Drosophila melanogaster: one gene and its partner. The protein of the gene in region 1 interacts with the protein of each later gene in a pairwise test. Each region holds a gene or a part of one and is shown on either strand. Other genes may lie near its edges.

Region 1 (7,813 bases):
TTTCTCTGCCAAGACTTACCCTTTCTTCGCGAATCATCCTTTCCTGATCTATGAGTGCTTGCACTTCTTTGATTCGCTGAAGATACATATCCTTCTGTTCCATGTAAAACTTTAGGTCGTCCTTAAGCTTTTGCAGTGCAAGCCTTGATACGGTGCACATGACGTCGGCGTGTTCCAAATCGGTATCAAGTCGGTCCTGCCAATTTCGAATGCTTTCCCTAAGCTTTCCCACCTCCAACTCATACATGAGTCCGGAGGAATACTGCACCTTTTCATCCTGCACTGCTTGTACCTCCAGGTCTTGTAGCTCTCTTTTTATCTCCACATTTCTTTCGTTCATCCGGGTCAGACGCTGATCCGTACAGCTTTTAAACCAGTTGATTTGATATCGCGTTTCAATCGGGTTCAGGGCTGCGGAAGAAGATGAGTTTTCCAAATATGGCTCATAGTAACCCCACTCACCTGATTTCCTTTCGAACACTATCATTGCCGATGAGTTACGACGTAACGACGTCAAGGAGCCACTTTGCTCATTGAGCAAAGCGACTGACGCACTGGATGCCAGATTTTCGATATTATCATTAAGGCTCTTTACCCAAGGGGCATTCATGTGGTATTGGGCATTTCTGCAATAGAACACATATGTCAATGTCGCAGTTAAAGCTAAACAAAGCAATCGAAACACCCTTACTTTAACAAATGTAGGCTATTTTCGCAGAGGTCTACGTCGTCTCGAAAATCTCTTCTAATTTCGTGTATAAGGTGTTCGATCTCGCTGAGATCCTTGCAGAACTTAACGCAATCAAGATCCTTGACACTTCGCTCCCGATTGAGGACATCAAGGTAGATCTGCTTTACGTCCAGTCGCAATAAGAAGTCATCCAACGACCAGCTGAACAGATTGTTTGGGGTCTCCTCCAGATCGCCTGGCCAGGGCATCGAGAAGAGTCGCAACTGTCTGAGCAGACGAACCGATAGGAATTCGATGGCCGCCTTTTGGACTTGGCGAATGAGATCTGCTATTATGGTGGACCTCAATCTTATGCTGGCTATGACTTCCTCCATTGTTCTCCTTACGGACGTTCTTTGGCGCTTTTGGGCCATCTGCAGCACCACCATAGCCTCGGCTTCCTTTACATCTGTGTCTTGGAGCTCCACTGGCCGCTTGACTATCGAAACGTCCCGCACTGTAGATCTAACCACTAATGAGGCCACTCGGGACTCGTGCTCCCTTATCAGATCCTTGAGAAACTCATCTCGGCACATTGATGGATCTTCTTGCTCCGGCAAGGGAAAGGGAATTTCCCAAGAGTCAAATTGCTCTCCTTCGAGACTAACCATGCCAGGTACCACGGCTTTCAAATGCTTCGTCTTTTTATGGGGCATTTTTAGAGTTTTTTGTTTATTTTTGTTTTATGTTTTCTATTCTGAAGTATTTTTTGTGAGTATCATTTCTAGGAATAATGTTAAAAGGGGCTGGTACACCATCATATGATGGTGAAATCTAAATACAACGCATTGAATTCCACACCACGGAGTTATTATCGTTTATGGTGATAAATTTCAAATCCCCCGCCATTTAGTGTTGGCAAGCGTCGTTGCAAAGCGAACAAATAAACAGCTGATTAGGCAGTGGATAGAAGCAGCAGCTCTAGCCATTCGCATGTCAACGCGGCTGCACATTGCTTTGAATTTTTGAATGTGTTCGTTCGTTTATTCTTTTTACTCATTGTTTTTCGAGTGTTGTTTATTGTTTTAATCAAAGTTAGTTGCTCCGCTTGTCAGTTTACATAAGCAATCTCACAGGTGGGACCGAATCTAATCGACTCTCCTCTGCTTGGCCAGTTTCCATCCGCGGCGCTCAGTTGCTAAGTTTAGTTGGCCACTTTTCCGATTCGGAGACTCAGGTGCATTTTCCGTGACCAGGTAAATAAGCTTGTCTTAGTCTATTGTTTCTGTATTCGGCGGCTTGTTTATGTGCTTGATTAGCAGTCAGCTGTGCATATTTGCGTCTCTCACATGCACACTATATTTGGCTTTTAATTACCCACAGCTGCGCGTGTGTGTGTGTGCGCCAGAGTGGGAGCTTGTGGCCGTGTGTGTGTGAGCCCAGAAACCGTAGTTACGTACATCACTGCGTATGAGCAATAAACTGTAATTGAGTCAAGGTCAGTAATTGGCACTTGATTGACAAACTTCGATAGCTGCTCGCTTATGTACATTTAAATTCAATTATTATCGCCTCTCTCCGCCCAAATATTTACATGCATATATTCCATTTGCCCTGCTTATCATCGATCGGTACGGGTTTGAAAACCTTTCCACTGACGTTTGAATTTATGACCTGAAAAAGGTATTTGCTCTTCCCTCTTTCTGTCCATATTAGTGCCTCTAATCCCTGCGATCTGTTCGGTTTATGCGCCATATAATTGATGTGGTTTCCACTGGAACGTTAACCAAAGCCGATCACGACTGACAGTTTGCTTTGCCACGGTTGGGAAACCACTGTCCCCCTGATAAGCACCGAAAAATGTCGAAAATAAGGCTCGTCCGACTTTAAGCAATTAAGCAAATAGCCAAGTTAACACTGCAAGTGGCGACAGAAGCTCACACACTCACCCACATGGAAAAAAACTCACGGGACTGAATCTTACGCAGATACAGTCGAAACCCGCTAATCAGATACCGGCGAGGTGTAATTCTAAGCAGATCAAGGCGACCCTGGCATAACAAAAATACCAACTCTAGAGAAATTTTTCACTCAAACCTTAAATTTCCAACATAATTAACCAAAACGTTATGTTTGAAATGAAAAAAACATGTTTAATGCTTAAACTGGCTAGCCTTTAAACACAATTTCTGTTTTTGTAATCATTAATTAGCTCTAAATTGGCTACAGTCAAAGGTTCGCCATAAGAATCTCAGAAAAAATAACTAAAAATCATTGTAAAGGCTTTAAAAAGAAAAGCTAGTAAGATGTTATATAAAAATTAAAGCTTTACTTTAAAAACGTTGCTCTTTAAAACTCGACCTTATTGTAAATTGTTATTAACTTAAGATTGTGGATTATATAGACGAGGCTTGACTGTACTTGAACGCACACAAACTGGCGAAAAAGATATGGAGAAGACGTCGACGAACTCGTTTCAATTGAGACGCAAACTGAAACACAATTCATTTCGCTGGAGAACGCGCAACCGAAAACATTTTCCACCTCTGCTCTTATTCGTCTTCTAACTGATATTTTTTTACTCACGGTTTCTTGGCCTTTGGTCTTTTGCGTCTCCGATAGAGCCCCAAAAATAAAATGGAGCAGTGGAACAATGTGGAGCTGACGAACATGTCCAAAAAGTCGTATACCCTGAATCATGCCTACGATGCCGCCGAGAAGTTGAACAAGGAAAACACGGCAAAGTCCTCGAATGGCAATGGCACCAGTGCCGATGAATCAACAGCTGCAGATGGCGATCTCCTCAAGCCAGGATCGGACGTGCGCCCAAAAGTGGAGCCCGAGGACGTGGAGAGCCTGCTGCGTCGCCTCTACGGGATCACGATAAGCGAGGTTAAGGAAATCGTCGCCTACGACGATCGCAACTTCTTTGTCAAGGAGGATAGGTAAGCAAAGCGATGACAGTATCTCGCTGACACCCTTTCCCAATCCCGCACCACATCCGGAGGTTTATCTCGTGTATGGGAGTTCAGCGTAAGCATCTCATACAGCTGCAGTCAGATTATTAGCACAGGCAATTTCAAACATCATAATATATCATTTAGATCAGGATTAGTCTTCTATATAGTAAACACAAGAATTCGTTGCTTGAAATAATATCTCCTTTAAAGCATCAACACAACATATTTTCTGTGCTTTGACATGACTGCAATTTTAGCTGCTGTTCGTAGTACGACTGTGCAACACGAAAACAAATAATAATGAGCCGGAGAAATGCGGCGGTATGTAGCATCTATTTATACCCAGTTTAATTAAAGTTGTTAGTCGCGGCAGTTGAGTGTGACGCAGTCGACAGTCACCTTGCCAGCATCGCAATTGCTATCTTGATGGATTCATGGCATTCAGCACTGATGTAGTCAGTTCAGCTCTTCACTTTAATAAATTAGATAAATCTAGAGAACAAAAAGCTTACAATCTAGAAGAGCCATCTATTTGAGGACAGGTTTCGTCTGGAAGCCAAACATGCTGAGCTTGGTTTGATTCTGGCTCACGGCACCCAGTTTTCCATTCGTCCTAGATTTAGGAGTGCCCTTCTTGGCAGTGGAGGGTTTACTCAGCCCCACTCTTCGTTTGCTGGTTGGCAAAAAGTTCTGGCGTTGCTGGCTGGAGGATGAGGTAGATGATGCTCTCTGATCCGAGCTACAGCTGTCGTCCGATAGCAGAATGATGGCATCATTATTGTTCCTGTCGGATTCCTGAGTGGGTTCCGGAGAGTTTTCCAGAAGTAAATCCAGTGACTTAATGCGAATAGTTGTTGAATTGGTATTGCCTTCAGTTGGTATTTGGGGTTGAGAGTTGTTGAGATCTTCTTGGGATTCTAAAGGCGAAGGAACACCTTTATCTTGTGATTCCAAAAGAGAAGAGGCTGTGGTATCTGTATCTGTTTCACCGTCACTGATTTGTGAACTACAACGTTGTCTTATTGGGTTCTTCCCTGGAATGTCTTTACATACTAGTCTTAGTTTCTTATGGCCTGAGTGAGAGCTCAGCTTCTGCTCATCCATATCGTCATTTTCCGTATCTCTTAAGTGCTCCCTTTGAAGCCTTGTCTGTTCATCCTGCGTGGCGAAGAAGCGACTTCGGATCTGAACTTGTTCCTTGGCGAATATGCTTCTTTTAAGCGAATCAACCTTTTTTACACCAGCTTCTCCATCCAACGGACTTGCCTTTTTCGGACTAAGCAAACGCAGCAAAGAGGCATTCTCACAAACTACTGGGGATCGCTGATTAGCTTCTTCTCCAGTCCTTTCCTTGGCAAATGGATTGTGCCGACTTTTGTGCACCGGCGACGGAGGAGGTGTACGTTCTTGATCTACAGAATCTTCCCTGCTCGGACTTCTCCTCCTTTTGGCTTTGAAACTGTACATGTTAAACAACTCGGCCTCCGTTTGTTTAGCCTGTTCCAGTCGCTGATTAGCTTCGATTTCCTCGTTTAGAGTTTTGCCCACAAAATCCACTTTTTTGAAGAACAAGGCACACGGATTTTCTTTCTTCGGCGTGTGAGTGTTTTCGCTTTGAAAATTCGTTTGCCAAATACTTTTGTGCTTGGATCGTTTCACGTTCTTCGGCGTTGGCCATGCCTTTTCCGGTGTCCAAGAGTCCAGTCGCTTCATAGAGAAGGGGTTCAAGTTGCCTAGGGCCAAGTGCAAAGCCTGCTCGCTATCCTCCAGCAAGGTGCCAGCATTGCTGCAGTAGCGCTCATCAGTTTCATAATCTTCGAGGGCACACAACCGCTGCATGCGACGCTCTAGCGGGTTGTAGATAAACATGTGCCTGAAGGTGGCCTCCGCTTTCATGAAGTTTTCAATATAGTCGTCATCTACCTGGATTAAAGGATTATTAGTCTTACAATTCAGACCTAACCGCAAGTTAACTTACCTCAAGATTGCGCATATTGAGGTAACTTGGAATCTTTTTTAATGCTATTCGCATGTCTTCCTGTTCCGTTTTTAGTATAAATTTGCACGCCTTGGCCAGTCCGATGCCAGGCAGTGAGTCCAGGTAATCACAGCCGGATAGGATGCACATGCGCCGGAACTTGTCAAAGTGGTACTTCTCCTCCGTGCAGCCCATGGCCAGGTGAAGTTTTTCCGCCTCCACCAGCAGGCCGCTGCCGTTGAGGTCCAGCTTGAATATGATGTTCTTGGCTCCAAAAAGCGTTAAGTCCGAGTCCTCGGTGATGATGTACTGGGCCACATCTGCTCTATTCAGCCAGGCCATTTGGGCATCGGCCTCGTAGGGCGCCACAATGCAGTCAACATTCCGGCTCCGGCATTCCCGGATCAACCGCAACGCCATGTCGTGGGTGACATCCACGCAGCGTCGCATATGGGATCGGGCCTCCTCGATGCGACCCAATCGAAGGAGTTCCGCCGCCCGCTCTTTGCTCTGCTTCCTGGAGTCCCTTCTCCGCTTTTCGGTCAAAGCCTTGGCCGGCAAGTGCTGCCCATCGAAGACCAGAATGGGCTTGATGTCGTAGGACAGCAGCATGTTCACATACTTCAAGCAGTATTGTATATAAACATCCGTATCCTCGCCGCGGGCCAACTTCTCCGCACAGCCGAAGACTCCCTTGTGTAGCCAGCAATATGTGTCCACGGCCACTGTGCTGCCGCGAATGTCTTTTAGATGCAGCTGCGAGGAGGCCTTGCCCACGAAGGGAATTAGGCCGGTAATGCCCATGGTTAGGACCAACAACAATAACACATATAAAAACGAAATAAACAATTAATAAAATTGCGGATCTTAGCGCCAAAATTGCCAATGCATCAGTGTGACCAAAGTGCGATGCTATAAAAAAAATTCGAATTGCCATTCACATGGAACGCATATGTCTATCATTATCCAACACTTGGATTTTAAAAATAATTCAATATTTCTAACAGATATTATTTTGTATTTTTATGAATGTGGCGCTTTGTTATGCCTCATTTTTTATTTACTCCTTAAGATAAGTAATTTCCTATTGAATACATTTCCGTATTGCAGTAATGTTAAGAACCCCCTCATTGTAACCCACTGTCCACACGGATACGTCCTGAAAATCCTCAACTCACTGGACTCTAAGAAAGAGGACTTCGTGGATGCCCAAAACCAGATGCTGCTTTACTTGGGTAAGAATTGCTAGCCAAATCATCAGCAAATTGACAATGCAATCGTATTCCCTAGGAAAACACAGTGTGAAATGCCCACGACCAGTAGCCAATGCAACAGGAAAGTATTACTCTGTGGAACGGCTGAATGGGAATTCGAATGTGGTGCGACTGCTGGAATTTATACCGGGAGAAATCTTCCACCAGGTGCCGGTGACGAAGCACCTGCTCTACCGCAGCGGCGAATACTTGGCCAGGTTGGATCGAGCCCTCAAGAACTTCACCCACCAGGCATATGAAAGCCACAAGACCTTGTGGATGCTTCAGAGTGTTCCCGAGCTTAGGCAATTCCTGTACGTGGTGAAGGATCAGGAGCAGCGGCTTATCTGCGACGAGGTGATCGATGCCTTTGAAGCCAAGGTTCTGAGCCAACTGCCATCCATGGAGCACCAGATCATCCATGGGGACTTCAACGAACAAAATATAGTGGTGGAGCAGGTGCCCAATCAAACTGAATATACCATCAAGGGAGTTATTGATTTCGGTGATACGAGCAAATCGCCACTGATCTTCGAAATTGGAATTGCCCTCACTTATATGATACTGCAGGCCAACGATTTGGCCAATGGTGGCATATTTCTGTCCGGTTATACCAGTCTGAACCCAATTGAGAATTCCGAGCTGGCCCTTCTCAAGTACTGTGTTACTGCCCGATTTGTTCAGAGCCTGGTAATGGGACTCTACACCCACACGCTGCATCCCACAAATGAGTACCTCCTGGTGACCCAGGAAAAGGGATGGAAGCTCCTTCAGAAGCTGTGGCGCGAGAGCTTTGACGATATTGATGAGCTGTGGGCAAGCACTGGACACCAGTACTTGACGCAGAGCAATAAATAATATAAAATTCCGTTAGGCTTTTCCGTTTTTTAAAGGTATTTTAACTGATTTTCAATCCAGCTATTCTGGTTGTTGAAGATTTTGTATGTTATGT
Region 2 (5,116 bases), on another chromosome or scaffold:
ATAACAGTTATAAAATCTAGTTCATGTTACGTCTGTGCATTGAGATTTGTTCGGTGGATGTTATATATATATATATTATTTTATAAGGTATTTTTATATATATCTATTATGACATCAGCTATTACTTCAGTAGAAAATAACAATTAATCCGATCTTAAAGCATTCGTTTTTCGAAAATTAAATTTTCATTAGAGCGCACACAAAACACGGTTTTTATATTTCAATCAATTTTCGTTAAACCGCCGAAGAAATATATGTCTAGAGGATACAGCACGGGTTAAAGCCTTTAAGGCCACTCATTATAATCTTTTCGGCTAATAGCAAAAAGCGATTAGATTTCTCTGACATTCAGAATCGGCAGACCTATGTGGTTTTAACAATCCGTAAGTTAGGTAGGTAGGGTTAAGGGTTAATTTAACTTTAAAGGCTACATTCGGAAACGATCGATTATAAACAATATAAATTTGTTGTCAATTTGTAAGTACCAAGTCTACGTAATAGGAAAAATGCCTAAAGTAATTGCCTTATGTATGCTTAAAATTTACTATAATGCACCAAGAGATTTCACTTTCAGTTTTATCAGCGCTATAAATATACCCATATCAGTATCCAATTACAATTACAATCATTCAGATATCAACATACATATGTATATGCGCGTACTCGTTTATAATAACTCCAAGCGGACAATCATGTATGCGATACCTATAGTCCAACATTCATATTCGAATTATTTGCTATGCACTTTACGAATATTCATTATATATCATTTTGAGTGTGAGTCCATGCGAATTCTTGTCCCTCATAATATTTTTGATTTAAGTCTGCTGGATTGAGCTCAAAAATGCTGGATCCACCGATGCCACCTTGGCCGTAAGAAACGCGTGCATGCAGAACAGCAGACTTTGCAGGACTTGGCATTCCAGCTCCTGCAGGATATTAAACTTTTTATATATTATGAAATTATGGTATACTTGTATCTTTAGCTTACCTTGGTTTCTATTGCACGGCTATCGTGATCCTGGAAATGCAACTTCAGCTTCGATTTACCATCATCACTGGAGCCCCTCAGCTGGGAGAATTTATACTGCCAAACTGTGGCGGATTCGGCTCCTTCGGTTAATGAAAAACCAGCTTGCCAGTCCAGCGTGAGTCCACCACTTTTTCCATGATGCGACACGGCAAAGGTCTTACGCTGAGGAAAATTAACATATAATTAGAGAGTGAAGGTATGCGATATAAGTGTAAACCTACGCCCAGTTTGATGACACTTGTCACAATGGCCGCATTCCAGCTGTTTTCGATTCTCAAAAGCTCCTGACGGGTTTCCACGCTCAAATAGCGCGGTTCATGACCCGAACTTTGCAGCAGGAAACAATGCTGACGACTATCCACGGTCTCCGATTCCTTGACAATGCGGAACATGGTCTGGTAGACCTTGTAGACCACCAAAGCCTTACTAATGCCAGCCACATTTAGCTAATAATTTAATAGAAAAAATTAGTTAAGATAATCGAAACTTATCGCAATTGATTGCTACTCACTGGTGGCGTTTCAAAGAGCATCACTTCAGTGCCTTTGAGCAGTAGAAACCTGGGCTTGTAGCTCTGCCACGATATATTGTTGTTAATGACACCTTCATTCACCCAGCCCATGTACTCAATGCGCTCGCCCACAGCAAAGTTTCTATTATATAGCTTCATCTATTGGATACACAATTGATTAAATTATGAATATATATGCCTTTAACTCTCCTACCTGTAAATGCGTCAGGCCCACAACATTGTCTGTTATCAATTTCAGCCACTGACTAAGTATGGCCAGTTCGTCACAGTGTATGACACCTGTGGAAATTCCATTCAGACCGCGAACTTCGAAGGCATTTTGTCGCAGCTTGTCGGTGCCATAGATGTACCTCGTCACATATGCCATCATTAGAGGTACTGCAAGGTGTAAATATATGAATTGATTAGCATTTCTGTACGTAAGATTTGAGATACATTTCTGTTATCTTAGGACATAATCAATGAACAATTTGTTAACCTATTTATAAATAAGGCTCACCGGCAACCACGTCGGTCCAGCGCTTCTCGGGCTCCGAGCAAATTGACATGGGGCGACTACAACTGCGACTGATGGTTCCACTATTGACGGATGACTTGTAGCCCTCGTCAGCCTTCAGTTCGGCACATGTGACATCGTTGTCCGAGTCGGGTGTGTCCTTGGTCACTGGGATGTTGAGGAGGGTTATTCAATCCTTATTTATCGTGCTATGCTAGCCCACTGCTACTCACGTTGTTTCTGAAGGAAAGGCGTGGCTGCGCGATAATGCTTAACAGTGAGCACAACAATATCGCCAGCGTTTCTCAATATATTGACGGCATCATCGTGAGGACATGCCGTGATGTATTCTCCGTTGACCTTGATGATGGCATCGCCAACAAATAGTTGGCCCGTTATGTCCGCAGCCTGATCCTTATAGATACGCGATATCAAAATGGGTAGTTTATGCTCGGCGCCACCTTTTATGCTCAGTCCTAGGCCGCCTTGTTTTTGGCGCGTAATTTGAACCATACGTTCCTGAAAGATGAATTATTTCATAAATAAGTTAAATGTTATAGGGGAAAATATATATATACCTTTGATTCCATGGGTGGTCCATTGGGGTGACAACTACTTGGTGTTACCACTTCCAGCTTCTGCAGCGAAAGCAACTCCATGGTAAGATTAAGTCGAAGCGGTTCTGGTCTGCTCTTGCCATCGCTCACGTGCACCATTCCAGTTCGCACCTAAAATATTAATAATTTAATATTTAATAGATATACATTTATAAATATGAAGAATCTTTGCGTTACCTTCAGGTTTTGGTCGAGTTTTTCTTCTATAGGCGTGGCCATGGTGTCAGAGAGCTTCATAATTCCTGAAATCATTCAGAGAAGAGGGATCTTGAGTGTGATTTATGATCTTAAATGGGAAACGTGCTTAAAGTGATAGGATTTAAAAATGAATTATGAACCAAAATAAAATAAAAATCCAGGAACTCTAGAGATTTCTAGAGATTAGTTTGCTATAATAATAACAAAATGTATCTTCAAGATATCTTGACTATACTTAAAGCTCAATCAATATTTCTAGAGGCGTTAAATTAAATGCGTTGATTGATTGAATGGAATGAATAATTTAGAGCAAAGGGTCTGAAAAGGTTGAAATGTTGCCTGATTTGTGGCAATAACGGGATGTCTACCCTTGTTACCAAATCGGATGGCCGCCAATCAAGTTGGCCCAGTGTAATCAAGCGATTTCTGAGAACTTTTCGTTTTTTTTTTTTTATTTTTAAACATAATCGTGGCCATGGCAATGGACTGCGAAACAACTGCAATCAAATCGGGAAGCCGGCTCCGTGGCCTTTATCGATTGCCATTTTATTTTTCCACTGAGCAGACAGCAGTAAGGCGAAAGCAACGCAATTGCAATCATCGCATATCGAATTACGTTTGCACACTGGCCCACCGATGAGCCGATAGTTCAAGGTGAACTGTGCAATTGCCTTAATTAAATTACACATGCAATTAGAAACAATTAAGCGTAATCAGGCTGCCGCAAAATGTAATAGAAGGCATATCTAGATGGAAACGATACATGGGCATACCTTGGCCAAGTGCGTTTTCTACGAACTGATGCCACGGCATATGTTTTCCATTAAAGTGGAAAATAAATATGCTACCGGAAAACTAGATATGAGTGAAAACACATTGAAGTGTGCCCCATCTGCAGACGTTGTTTGTGGTTTTCCCTGGTGCTGAGTGCCGAAGTGTGGCCGCAACTGCTCCTCAGGAATGGGAGGGTGGAATATGTATTTTGGATAACCACTTGTGCTCCATAAATAGGTGTTTTGCCTAGGGGGGGTTGAGAGTTCTTGAAGGGGGGGGGGGGAGGGTTCGATTTGAGCGCCAAATATGTGCATATGGTGCCAGCTAAATTGCCATCTGAGATTGAGAAATTCTGAATTCGAGGGGAAACACTTTCGCTTTAAACGTTTTCTGCGATCTGATTCATGGTCAAAGTGAATTCAATTGTTATTATTGTTAATTAAAAAAATTATTATATATTTTTAATGAAATTATGAAAGGAATAAAATCATAATAAAATGTTTAGGCCTAAGCTTACGTGTCATCAACAATGAGTTTTTGAAAATATAATAAAAATAAATATATAAAAACGGAATTATTTTACTGAAGCAACATAAAATAATTATAATTAAGGTAAATTATACATTCCAAAATCTATACAAAAATAGATCTATCAACCCAGAATGTTCTATATTGCCTGCAAGAGTTTCGCAGAGTGCAAAAAGTGTCGAATATTTGGACCATGAATTCCTGAATCCTTGGCATTCCGCGTGTCGTAGCAATTAGCTGCTGGTCAGGCCACCGACTTGGCGGAACACGCATACGCTCCGTTGTCCCGGGTTACCTTTGATTATGGCTTTATTATTACGTGTGCACGCTGCGCTGCCCTTTTGGGTGCGTGCTTCAGAGCCGTAAAACCGTGAAGCTAGGCCCAGAGTACTCTGGTTTTTTTTTCGGTGGGGAGGTGTCCAGGAGTGCAGGTCCTTAGCTTCAAACCAAACAAGCCAACATGTTCGGCGTGAGGCCTTGGACAATCAGCTGTGCCACAGCCACGAAAAGAGCAGCAGAAGCAGCAGCAGGCGAAACGTTTCGGGCTGTTTTGCCTGAAGTTTCAGCGATTGAACTTTTCTTTTTTTTTTTGCAGCTCTGGCTGTGAAGTAAAACAAACACACGCACACCCTCGCATAACCGATACTTTTGCTGCCCGAGGCCCAAAAACGTTGATTATTAATTTATGTGTGTGTTTGCTAAACAATTCTACCGCACCCAGTATATCGGATCGACTTTGGGGGATTACCTCCTTGTATTGACAGATGTACTTATGCTTGCCCGCACACATATACATATATATATGTATATGCGTGTGTATAAATATATGCAGTTTATGTGTAGTTGCGACCCGTTTTCGCGTTTTCAATTGGGTCACATTTTCACATATTCGATATCCTGAATAGAGGGGCTTGAACTCGCGATTTGGCCAAATCGTC

What was found.
Region 2: the proteins of CG31751 (region 1) and Syn2 interact in a two-hybrid assay, tested with the Drosophila melanogaster proteins (one large-scale study listed by BioGRID).

Annotation. Positions count from the first base shown.
Region 1 is NT_033779.5:18,675,547-18,683,359, forward strand, and holds the start of CG31751 (uncharacterized protein), read left to right. Parts: upstream 1-1,674; 5' UTR 1,675-1,926; intron 1,927-3,169; exon of another isoform or gene 3,170-3,292; 5' UTR 3,293-3,307; coding exon 3,308-3,615; intron 3,616-4,084; exon of another isoform or gene 4,085-4,158; coding exon of another isoform or gene 4,159-5,553; intron 5,554-5,608; coding exon of another isoform or gene 5,609-6,412; exon of another isoform or gene 6,413-6,529; intron 6,530-6,718; coding exon 6,719-6,843; intron 6,844-6,898; coding exon 6,899-7,719; 3' UTR 7,720-7,813. Other genes in the region: Mst36Fa (Male-specific transcript 36Fa), read right to left, coding at 20-411, 463-626, 692-1,386; tos (tosca), read right to left, coding at 4,159-5,553, 5,609-6,412.
Region 2 is NT_033778.4:16,552,432-16,557,547, reverse strand, and holds Syn2 (Syntrophin-like 2), read right to left. Parts: upstream 2,962-5,116; 5' UTR 2,931-2,961; coding exon 2,856-2,930; intron 2,790-2,855; coding exon 2,640-2,789; intron 2,581-2,639; coding exon 2,295-2,580; intron 2,230-2,294; coding exon 2,065-2,229; intron 1,944-2,064; coding exon 1,759-1,943; intron 1,704-1,758; coding exon 1,545-1,703; intron 1,480-1,544; coding exon 1,255-1,479; intron 1,196-1,254; coding exon 992-1,195; intron 930-991; coding exon 819-929; 3' UTR 522-818; downstream 1-521.